Linked DNA regions of Neurospora crassa OR74A. The protein of the gene in region 3 binds, or shares a complex with, the protein of the main gene of each other region. Links are inferred from orthologs where the notes say so. Each region holds a gene or a part of one and is shown on either strand. Other genes may lie near its edges. The genes, in order: NCU03233, fes-1 and cyt-26.

What was found.
Region 1: the proteins of cyt-26 (region 3) and NCU03233 are in contact, whole or in part, in a cryo-EM structure (PDB 8ABA), measured with the Yarrowia lipolytica proteins. The link is inferred for Neurospora crassa OR74A from reciprocal best matches to the Saccharomyces cerevisiae genes CYT1 and QCR9. Residues at the interface, in XP_500165.3 of Yarrowia lipolytica: Pro127, Met131, Leu132, Ser133, Thr134, Phe135, Asp136, His137, Ala138, Arg141, Gly167, Val168, Thr169, His170, Thr171, Glu174, Glu287, Asp314, Lys317, Lys318, Leu321, Lys322, Ile325, Val326; in XP_500389.1 of Yarrowia lipolytica: Phe29, Phe33, Glu34, Ile37, Asp38, Phe40, Trp41, Ile44, Asn45, Gly47, Lys48, Gln49, Trp50, Ile53, Tyr57.
Region 2: the proteins of cyt-26 (region 3) and fes-1 are in contact, whole or in part, in a cryo-EM structure (PDB 8ABB), measured with the Yarrowia lipolytica proteins. The link is inferred for Neurospora crassa OR74A from reciprocal best matches to the Saccharomyces cerevisiae genes CYT1 and RIP1. Residues at the interface, in XP_500165.3 of Yarrowia lipolytica: Arg163, Lys176, Asp186, Glu187, Pro188, Arg195, Lys200, Ala202, Val326, Ala329, Met330, Leu333, Ser334, Tyr336, Ile337, Phe340, Asn347, Lys349, Ile351, Tyr352, Asn353; in XP_499709.1 of Yarrowia lipolytica: Gly39, Lys40, Ser41, Thr42, Lys44, Pro46, Asp47, Phe48, Tyr51, Phe64, Ser65, Met68, Ile69, Ser71, Phe72, Leu75, Ser76, Ala95, Asp96, Ala99, Met100, Glu104, Lys119.

The regions. Positions count from the first base shown.
Region 1 is NC_026501.1:4,990,423-4,993,914, reverse strand, and holds NCU03233 (hypothetical protein), read right to left. Parts: upstream 2,022-3,492; 5' UTR 1,897-2,021; coding exon 1,894-1,896; intron 1,827-1,893; coding exon 1,813-1,826; intron 1,687-1,812; coding exon 1,621-1,686; intron 1,550-1,620; coding exon 1,501-1,549; intron 1,443-1,500; coding exon 1,395-1,442; 3' UTR 567-1,394; downstream 1-566. Other genes in the region: NCU03232 (RNA binding protein Pym), read left to right, coding at 2,431-3,027. UniProt on the Saccharomyces cerevisiae protein: Component of the ubiquinol-cytochrome c oxidoreductase, a multisubunit transmembrane complex that is part of the mitochondrial electron transport chain which drives oxidative phosphorylation.
Region 2 is NC_026504.1:1,784,951-1,788,697, reverse strand, and holds fes-1 (ubiquinol-cytochrome c reductase iron-sulfur subunit), read right to left. Parts: upstream 2,293-3,747; 5' UTR 2,086-2,292; coding exon 1,812-2,085; intron 1,487-1,811; coding exon 1,398-1,486; intron 1,276-1,397; coding exon 1,125-1,275; intron 1,004-1,124; coding exon 822-1,003; 3' UTR 94-821; downstream 1-93. Other genes in the region: dim-8 (DNA damage-binding protein 1), read right to left, coding at 2,773-3,084, 3,153-3,747. UniProt on the Saccharomyces cerevisiae protein: Component of the ubiquinol-cytochrome c oxidoreductase, a multisubunit transmembrane complex that is part of the mitochondrial electron transport chain which drives oxidative phosphorylation.
Region 3 is NC_026501.1:4,145,217-4,148,963, forward strand, and holds cyt-26 (cytochrome-26), read right to left. Parts: upstream 2,347-3,747; 5' UTR 2,113-2,346; coding exon 2,038-2,112; intron 1,795-2,037; coding exon 1,640-1,794; intron 1,492-1,639; coding exon 1,429-1,491; intron 1,337-1,428; coding exon 664-1,336; 3' UTR 52-663; downstream 1-51. Other genes in the region: aro-7 (DAHP synthase), read right to left, coding at 3,162-3,322, 3,407-3,747. UniProt on the Saccharomyces cerevisiae protein: Component of the ubiquinol-cytochrome c oxidoreductase, a multisubunit transmembrane complex that is part of the mitochondrial electron transport chain which drives oxidative phosphorylation.

The DNA.
Region 1 (3,492 bases), about 850 kb from region 3:
AGTTGAGTCAATTAGGTGGCGTTCTGTGACTCGTCGATGGATTGGCTGGCTTCTGTCGGTTAACCAACAACCGACCGTCAGGACCGTTCCTCCGAGTTCCTTCTTAATTGTAGATCCTGTGGGGGGGGTTTTGTCGGGCTTCTATGGCCGCTGTTGATCCATTGCGAGTTCCGTTGGTGCCATTTGGCCTAACATCCAATTCAGTACTGGTAGACATGCCGTCGGAGCAACCTATGTTACCCAGGTAGGTTTGCAGTCGTGATTGCACCGACACTTAGGACTCCACTAAAAGCTCCTACCATCTTTGACCATAACTCATCCCCATTATATCTTTACCTATCGACATTTGCGAGACAAATCCTGCAGCGAGCTTCGGTATTTTGCGAACAAGAAGGTGCACTGACGCTCGTAATGGTACGTCAGTGGGGGGCCGCACTCCGGGCCTTTAAGTAGAGGTAGAGGTAGCGTAGGCAGAAGGTACTAGGAAGAGTGAAGCCCTGTTCCCTTCTTGACGTACAGTTATGAATGGTACTGTTTATGATAGGGAGCAACTAAACACTACAACTGGGCCACGCTTACCCTCAGAAGTACGCGTGTGCTTCCGCTACTATACCTAACCGAGCGACTTGTTACAAACTGAACCTCCCGTCCTGATGTCGTCCACACCGTATATTGATAATCATCATCGTGCATTGCACCGTGTTGCTCCTGAAGTACCGGTAGAGGTACGGTAGGGACAGAACAAAAAGTTAGTAGGTCAAATGTAGAGGTTCCTCAGCGAATAATCACCATGTCGAGCACCAGCCGGTAGGTACCTCTATACTCTACTACCTCTACATACCACATACCACAGGCCACAGTGCCAGCTAACGTAGCTTGCCAGGGGCTGGCGCTTGGTGTGTGAAAAATCCATGCCGTCCGACCGACCATCAAAGCCGCTGCGTAAAGACGTCAGAGATTGCGAAGGTCAGCTCGAACTGCGCAGTTCATCGAACGCTTCAGCCTGCTACGCAACGCTGGGAAATTTAAAGCAGACATTGCCCACACATACACACGTCCGAAATCCAGGCTGGGCCGTTCGGTTGCCGGGCTTGCTTCATGCTGAGGTTCCTCAGATCAAAAGCTGGCAGAGAGAATTGCTCAATGCTCCTACTCTTCAGCCTTGTAGTCGGGCTATGGTCATTCGTCTATGTGTCTTTCGCCATGGTGAATATTGATTTTGTACAATACGGTAGAAATAGGGGCTTGGTAGGCAGAAGCGTCAGGAAAAGTCGCCCATTCCTCTAGCAATCAATGGCCGTCGACCACGTCCCACTTTCTCCTAGAGGCTGTCGTCTGATCCTCATCGGGTCGGCGTTTCCATGTCTTGAAAAGTTGCTCCCAAGTCGTCATGTTTACTCCTCAGCCTCGACGTACTTGTGGCGGATGTCCTTCCATTGGCGCTGTTCTCCTCGTCAGCAACTGTTCCACACCAGTGTCAATTCAGTCGTAGGCTCGTACCCCCTTGTTGATCTTGTCCCAGACCTTGTCCATGCCGTTGTCATAGGCCCTAGATGGTGCGATTGTTCAGCGACACAAGATTCCCTGTTATATGTTTATACGACTGTCGTGGGTACGTACAACTCGAAGGCGAAGGCACCAGCGAAGACAGCGCCGACAAAGGCGGTGTTGTTGCGGAAGATGAGGCTGGGATGTACGTTAGCTATCGGTGCTCGATTTGGCTTTGGCCCGGGAGATAGGGTCGGGGCCGGTGCCGGGCCGATGGGGGTGGGAGGCGTGTGAGCATGCGCTCGGCGTTGCGGGGATACTTGCTTGTACAAAGCGGACTAAATTGGGAATGCGCGATTAGCATTGGCAGGTTCTGAGCCGGCGTGAGGGCGGAGAGATGCTCACCATTTTGGCAGATTTACCGAGGCTGTAAACGGTGGTTCAGCTGCGTCTCTGACGGTGACGTTGTGTGGGAGATGGGCGTCGCGAGCAATCACGATGTTTTTCGTTGCACTGGACAAAACCGACCCAGCGGAACCTAGAAGATCGCAGATGTCGCCGGCCGGAACCATCCGGAGCAAATGCAGCTCCCCTGATTGGTCAAAGCTATGACCCACTTTCTCCAGGTGCCTCCAAGGCTGCTGGCACCTCTCACAAGCGTGCCAAGCTGCAAGCGGGATCAACCTCGAAGCCACAACGTCGTCCTCATTTTCCAATCTCTTGCTTCTTCCTACAAATTTACTGATTGACGTGTCCGACGGATGCGCATCAAACTGTGCGCATTACGAAAGCAACAATCTCGACACGCGAGGTTCGAGCTCCGGCGAATCAACCATTAAACATTTATACGAAACTCACTACTTCCGAATCGTCGAACGGCATCGCCGCAACCCTAGCCGAACCCCTCATCGAACATCAATAATCCCACCACAATCTTGAACCATGTCTCAGCCAACAAACTCCGGCATCATAACTGACAAAAACGGCGAGCGTGTCATCCCCGAGTCTAAGAGAGCCGACGGGAGTACCAGAAAAGCTATCAAAGTCCGCCCCGGCTACCGCCCGCCCGAGGATGTCGAGGTGTACAAGAACCGCACCGCCGAGGGCTTTCGCCAGCGCGGCAAAGGCCCAGTGCCGGGCGCAGAGGGATTGAAGGAGGACAAGTCGGACCAGCAGCTCAGTGCGGCGGCTAACAAAAATGCCAAACGTCGGGAAGCGCGCAAAAAAGCCAAGGCTGCTGGCGAAATAGAAGGCGAGGATCAGAAGACAGCTGTTGCAGCGGCCCCTGCACTCAAGCCAGAAGAGCTCGACCCGGAAGCCGAGAAGGAGAAGAAGGCCCGGAATGTAAAGAAGAAGCTTCGCCAGGCCAAGGAGCTGAAGGACAAGAAGGATGGTGGAGAGTCGTTGTTACCTGAACAGATCGCCAAGGTTATCAAGATCAACGAACTCATCCGGGAATTGGATGCCCTTGGTTTCGACTCTGAAGGGGAGCCAAAGACCGCAAAGGCTTCGTCTGAACCAAAAGAGGACTCGACCTGAAGCAGGAAAGTGACGATCGAGGATAAAGATCATGAGCATAGGTCCTGGCCGGCAATTGCTATGGCCAAGTTACAGAGACACTGCTCCGCCGGTCCAATTGATGCGCCACACTCGATTCACGACGATCCCTGAACAATCCTTCAGCATGAGCCTAAACTGGGAAGCCTTTCGACACTCTTTGACACTGCACGCCGACCTTTGAGCCTTCTGCCGCTCCGCGCGCCCGCGTTGAGGGCCTGGGGAGCATGGGGTAGCTGTATGAATATGCCATGACGGGAAGTGCTGCTGCTCTGAACGTTGCGATCGGGTAAAGGCGAATGGTCCAAGGCGAATGTCCAAGGCAAATTGTTAAGATGAAAGGGACGACGACGATAAAGAGTGATGGTTTCGAATGCTGCTGGCTGTACAGGGTCTGTACAGTCAATTTACAGTTCAAGACGAGAGGGATGTCGGATCCTGCCCTGC
Region 2 (3,747 bases), on a different chromosome or scaffold from region 3:
CAACCAGGGTAAGCTACCGGTTCGCGGGCGTTTCCTTAACTCAGCTACCAGAGTAGCACGGGCGGGTATACCGACTGGGCTTGATTCGCAAGGTTGGCCAAGCTAAGATTAAGTTGTCAACATCTGTAATTCTGGTCGAGCTGCTCTCCAGCAATTCGACATGTAGCCTGTCTGTCCCACACCCGCATAAAAGGCCATTTGTATTTACCAATGCCGTGTTGGATGATCAGATGCGTTAGCATTGGGAGGTTCATCAGCTGACCTATGGTTTCCTCACAAAGCTCTTAGCCACAGCCGACTGCCATGGGTCGAGGAAGACCTTCTCACGGTACCATGCTCCAGTGAGCCTCTCATACAATAGGATTTTCTACAAAGCCAGTCTATAGGAAAACGCAAGGGTACAACACTCAGCAGCAACCTAGCGCCAAGCTCAGCACCAATAATAGGTATGTAGGGTTGCGTAGGTGAAGAACGCAGTTCTGAGTATATAGAAGTTTCCGACTCTCGAGCGCATATGATCGACCGTGACACCTGATTTGCTGTTGTGTATGCGTATGTGTGTCTTCTGTCTATAGGATAGTCGTACGAAACCGCGTCAAGAACCACGGAAAACAAAAATCCCGTTTTATGGTCTATGACATGCTTCCACTCAAGCCCTTTGTCGCAATACCCCCGTACTAATACAATTCTCCCTGTCATCGTCTCTCGGGCAGCAAGGGAAAAAAAAAGTGGACAAGGGAATATCGAGAGGATTCCCTAGTAGGTTTGGTTAAAAATTGTGTCTTGTTTGTTCAATCGGAAAGTTTTGTCTTTTTGCTCGCTTAACCAATGACAAGCTTGCCCTCCTCAGGGAACTCGTAGAGAGGGATCTCGAGGTTCAGAGGGGCAGGTCCTTTCCTGATACGGCCAGAGATATCGTAGTGAGAACCGTGGCAAGGGCAGAACCAGCCACCGTAGTCACCGGCCTCGCCGATGGGAACGCAACCCAAGTGGGTGCAGACGCCTGTTTTGTTCACACACCAAATGTCAGTCTCCCCACATCGTCGTGTATCCAGGATCTGAGCATCCAAAAATGCTATCCTTCGTCTTGTTCGGATCGCAAAGAGGGACATGGAGGGGCGTACCAAGCATGACGAGCCACTCGGGCTTCTTGACACGGTCGGCGTCGGTCTCGGGGTCACGGAGGGTGGCAACGTTGACCTTGTTGGCCTCTTCGATCTCCGCAGGGGTACGGTGACGGATGAAGACGGGCTTGCCACGCCACTTGATGATGACCTGTAAAAGTAGGAAAAGACCGGGGTCAGCATTCCATCATGGTTTGATCGTCGTCGGGAATCGATGTGCCCAGCTCAGCTCAGCCCAAGCCTTTGCTAATCCGGTTTCGTAGGGATCCTTACGTTCTTGCCCTCGGGGATGGCGTTGAGGTCAACCTCAACCTTGGCCATGGCCAAGACATCAGCGGAAGCCGACATGTTCTTGAGGAACTCTGTATAACACGGTCGCCTCGTCAGCTGTCTTTAGTTCTTGGGTGTTCGTGGGTGCATGTGCAAGATGGCATTTTCCCCATGTATCCATGCTTCAACATCGCCCCAAGGTCCAACCATATCCGCCCCGATATCGAAAGTTGTCATAGTGGTCGCAAATTGGTGATCGATGAGACGGAACCGTAGATAGCTCGCCCCACCATAACAGAACCCCCTTGTCGAATCCCATTGACCCGAACCCATCTGTCCTATGCCACCTCTTTGTTTTCCCCAACCTCGAGGAATGTGTGAAGCTTCCTCCTCAAATCCCATCAAGTCAAGACTCACCCTGGATGGTGGACTTGGCGCCGGCGGCGGTGATGGCGCCCATGGTGCCGACCATGAAGTAGGAGAAGAGCATGTTGGTGCTGGGGGGCGCCTTGCTCATGTATTTGCCGAAGTCGGGGACCTTGGCGGCCTTGCTCTCGCCCTTGAAGGGGCTCTCGAAGGTGGAGGACGAGGAACCCTGGAGGGCAGTCGAGGTGGTGAGAGCGCGAACGGCCCGGGCGGGGGCGGCAGCGGCGCGCATGGCGGCGCGGGAAACGATCGAGACGGGCGCCATTGTGTCGGTAGAATTACTCGCGTGGACAGAGGTCGGAGCGGAGAGAGGGGGTTGCGAGAGCGGGGAGATCGAGCGAGGTTCTGCTCTTTCGGAGTCGCGGGAGGACGGTGGACGTGGGCGGTGTTCCGGAGACGGAATTGACGGCTGCGTAATGCGGTCGAGACGACGAGGCCAAAATCACGGACTGAGGTTTTTCTGGGCCGAGCTTGGTTCCCACCTTTCCCGGCATGGGAAACCGCCATAGCTACTGGCTTGTGGCCTGAGGCACTAACCAACCACAGCGTCCGCCCAGCAGCTAGAGAGCTACTTAATGCGCCGGCCCTGATTGGCTGTGACTGCCTGTTCGTCCACTCTCCGGTTTCTTCCGTCGCCTGGTTCGTCCTGTTGGTGGTGGTGATGGTGGTGGTGGGGCTCACCTCAGCGCGTCACCGCAGCGCCCGGACAACTTGAACTGTCAGCGACTCGGCGAGCCAAGGGTGCCAAGACAGTGATGTCAATTGATCTATTGATCATACATAATTCATTCGTTCATCTGAGGCTATTCACAGACTCATCTTCTCTCACCCTATGCAGCCATGTTTTGAGCACAGCACTTATTGACAACACTTGCAACTGCCAAAATCTTCAGCAGCCAAAGCGATGACTTGTAGACATCCAATCATGCACGTTAAGTGTCTAACCGTTGGCTCAGTGCATCCTCCGTAGCTCCTCTACCATATTGCGCATCTGCTCAACGCTCGGCCCAAGACCTTCGCAGATCTCCTTCTGCGTCTTCTCATCCACATCCAAAAACCTCTCCAGCAACTCCCCATCCAGGAACCTGACCGGCCCAGTCGTTCCATCTGCCTCGGGCCCCCTTTCCGCATTGCGGAATGCCCTGTAGGAGTTGAAATCGAGTTCGCCAACTGTCTTGATCACCGCCGCCAGTTTATCCTGGAACCGAAGTAAGAGGTCTTGTTCGCGCGCAATCGTACCAAACATGTAAATACCGCCTTCCGCCTGTTTTATCAAGTCAATTGTTAGCCTTGACCTTGTGACATGATCAATCTGAGAAACAGGCAACTTACCGTGGCCAAGAACGCTCGAGGAATGATGATGGCGTTCGGGCTAGTCTCGACCTTGATCGGGCGTATTTTGTTCACCTGTTCTCCCAGGTTGAGCTCGCTTGTTATCCTCAGTTGCCGCTGGTCCTCCACTGTCACGCCCTCAGCATTGCGTTGAAGCACGATCAGATTGCCATTGGCATCAGCTTCAAGCCAAGACTCGCCCTCAACGTGAGCCACGGCCGTTGCCCACGCAGAATGCCTGTGTCTCGCGCACTCTACCAACTTGGGGGCTTCGGACTTCTCCCCTCCGGTTTTGGCCGGGACGTACTCGACCAGTGTAGCCGACTTCATCATATCAGCAACAGCAATCATGTTGCCATGCACCGCGATGTCGACCGGATAAGTTGTGCACCGATAAGACGCGAGCTTGACGAGATGGGCCTCAGTGCTTGACGTTTCCTCGTACTGGCTGATAACCACTGTCTTGTGGAGTGCAGCCACGATTTTGCTGCCCATGACCGCCAGAGCGCGACAGCCGCCTTTCAGCTCGTGCTTGAGGACCAAGTACGGATCCCGGTTGCTGTCGATCCCGAACACCAAGATCCTACCGCGCTTG
Region 3 (3,747 bases):
AGATGTTGTTGCTTGTCAGTGAGTGAATCGAAAAGGGAGGGGAGGGGGCCAAGACTTTGTTTGGAAGGCAAATCAAATGCCAAGCCAGGGGCATCCTCTGTGGCACTTCGTGCTGACATTTACCGTGATTCGGTGAAAGAGAGATTGCCAATCGAGAAATGTCAAGGCTTTCGAAGCTCATACTATATCTCAACTACTCTCGAAGTTAAAGGCGTACATGATGATGTAGCTGACAGGGAAATGGCCTTTACTCTTTGGCATCCGTTCAAATGCCCATGTCGTAATATCCGTATCCTGATCCACTCACATGCAAGTTCAGCTTGACCGTCATACCCATACCATCATACCCTGTCAGACACAGGCAATAACGTCTATGTTGTATTTGAGACCAGAAAATTTGATTTATACACTCTACGACCATCTTCATGTTCAACCCACACGCCCGCACATCTCCGCATTGCCCAGAGTTACCGATCCCGCCCCTGCCCATTCCTTTTCGTTTTGCTCTTTCTGACCGATGCGCAAGAGGAACATGGGGGAGCAAAATTTGGGCAGCAATAGTATATGATACATACACAGAAAAAGACAAGGAAAATCACGCACGTCTCACAACGGTTATTGTGTGAATGTCATGACTTTGCCCTTTGTTGTGGCAATGCTAAATTAGTGGCGGGTGGTGGACTCCTTGGGGGGATCGTAGACGATCTTCCTCGACTTGAGCCAAGCCCACTTGTAACGCTTAACATAGACGCTCAAGGCGAAGAGCACAGAGGTGACAACCAGAACCTTCATACCCATGCGCTTGCGGTCGTCCATCTCGGGCTCAGCAGCCCAGTTGAGGAACTCAACAACATCCTTGGCCATCTGGGAGGTGGAGGCGGGGGTGCCATCCTCGTAGTCGACGAGGCCGTCGTAGAGGACACGGGCCATGGCGATACCGGTACCGGGGAAGTAGGGGTTGAAGTTAAGGCCGGCGCCAACGGAAGCGCCAGCGGGAGGCTCATCGGGATAGCCGGTAAGGAGGGAGAAGATGTAGTCGCAGCCACCGTGGCGGGCCTTGACGATCAAGCTGAGATCGGGAGGAAGGGCACCGTTGTTGGCGAAACGGGCGGCCTCATCGTTCTTGTAGGGATCGGGGAGGTAGTCGGAAAGCTTGCCGGGGCGCTTCTCGATCTCGCCCTGGTCGTTGGGCTCGGTGTCGTACTCGTTCTCTTCGGCAAGAGCCTTGGCCTCATCGACGGTCAAGATGGTGCCGACAAGAGCGCGGTAGGGGACTCTGCTGAGAGAGTGGCACGAGGCGCAGACCTCACGGTACACCTGGAAACCTCTGCGAAGACTGCAGTCGGGCAAAAACAAAGTCGTGAGCCAGATAGTCATTTTGGATTGGAGGCGCGGCCTCGAATGGGCTGGATAGGAGTGGTTGCTTACGCTTGGTGATCAAAGGTCTTGAGCCACTGTTCGTGGACCCAGGGGTACTTGGTAGCATGGAGACTGCGTCAACGGTAAGCTTCGAGTCACTCCATGCCCAGATTCATGCCTATAGTCGAGCTCGGTCGTATATGCCTCAGAACCCATGAGGCAGACCTCGGTCCAGCGGCTAGAGCGGGGCGGATGGTCGGATCGATCGTAGGGGACTCACCCTTCCTCAGCCGGAGTCATGGCGGAAGCGAATCCATAGAGATGGTAGTACCAGGCGATCGAGCCGGCGGCGACGGCGGTGGCAGCGGCGGCAGCAATGTTCAGGCGGAGGGGAGACTCGGCAGCGGCGCCGGAGCTCTGGGTGGAAGCCGAACGCTGCCGGGCACGTCCGTTAGCTTTCCTCGAGGAGCGCGAGAGTGTGAAGGAGACAAGACAGGATGGCTCGGCCGGGGCGGGGATGGTCGGGCAACTGGGCCCCGGACCGGGAGCTCGCAGTAGGTTGACGGTAGCTCAAGCCGGCCCAGACCCAGCCATTCGAGTGGCGATGCGGCCGAGATCTGTTGTTTGGAGGGGCAGAGAGACGAGGACGAAAGAGTTGTCGAAGCAATCGAGACGAACCTTGGCAAATTTGAAGGCGCCATTTTTCGCGCTGGCAAAGGTGCGCGTCGAGCGCAGGCAGGTCCTCGCCAGCATGGTGGGCAAGCTGAGCGAAGCTTTAGGAAAGTATCGCGGGTTCGGGGGACAAGGCCAATTGGGTTGGCAATGTCGGTGACAGTATCAGGTCTGGCGGGCGGGAGGTCGAGCAGGTCCGTCCAGGTGCAAGGTCGGTCGATTCCCTTCACGTAGCGTCGTAGGTAGGACCGTAGGTTTCTTGAATTTCGGGAATCTTAGGAACACTCGCCATCTGATTGGCTGGGCCAATCACCGTGCAGCCTTTCGAGCTTTTACACTTCCCCTCGGCCCCGGCCGATGGATTTTCCGCACTAATTTACCTCATTCTGCCCGCGGGCCTCAGCGCTTTTTGAGACTACCTTGCTCAGTAAGGTAGACACCTCAGCGAGCCCAATCCCGACCTGCAAGTGGAAGTTTCACAAGCGACTAATCCAACTGGGCACAGCTGGGAGCTGGGCATCAGGATCAGGATCAGCATCAGTATCAGCATCAGCATCAGCCAGCATCGCCCCATGGAAATCATAAATGTCCAAGCTCTCGCTGCCCGCGGTCCGCCCCTTCTGTCTTTTCAGCTCACACGGCGACCCAGCGTGACCGGACCTAGCCGAGGAAAAGCTGCCAAGGAAAGCCAGGTTTGAAGCTATACACCACACATACATACCTATGCCGTGGCCCCGTAATCGCAGGTGAAGCTCAGATTTGGTCACCACGGCTATCACGCTTCACACCAACACATCACCACAATTGCATCCCCAAAAAAAAAGGCAACGCAAAACTGTAGTCGAACATGGACGATCCTAGAGATTATCATCGAAAGAAATCCAAGGTAATTGTTTCGTTTTGAGATCCAGACCCGCTCCATCTTTTACCATCTTCTATTGTCTCGACGGCCATTTCCCAAGATGCATTAATACACGCTCTTTATCAAAACACACCACATGCAGAAATGTCAGCTTTTGTGTTCCCATCCCCGCGCCAGCATATATTCGGCATCCCTCACTTAGGGTTCGTGAACCCCTATCAAATGACCCATAAACCATAAAGCAAACAAGACCAGGAATTGGCATGACTTAGGCAGCGGCGTTCTTGCTCAGGACTTCTCTCCTCTTTTTGACGGCCTGCGCAAGCGTGTCGAGAGTGGCGACAGTGTCCTCCCAGCCAATACAAGCATCAGTGATACTGACACCGTACTTGAGGCCGCACTTGCCTTCCTCGGGCACCTTCTGGTTACCTGTACGTTGTGTTAGCGAACAGCTTCAAATTTAGACGGTCATATGCCCCCAATAAAAAAAATAAACAAAATAAAAAGACTTGCCCTCGTTGATGTTGCTCTCAATCATGACGCCCATGATACCAGTTTCGCCGTTCTCAAGTTGTTGCGCAATTTCGGCAGCGACCTTGGGCTGGTTCTTGTGGTTCTTATTCGAGTTGCCGTGGCTGCAGTCAATCATCAGGCGCTGGCGCAAGCCGCTCTTCTCCAGCGCAGCCTTGGCCTCAGCGATGCTCTTCGCATCGTAGTTGGTGCCCTTGGTACCGCCACGGAGGATGACGAAGCAGTCCTCGTTGCCAACAGTTCCGACGATGGCAACGACACCGGGCTTGGTGACGGACAAAAAGTGATGGGGATGTCTGACAGCGCCAATAGCATCAATGGCA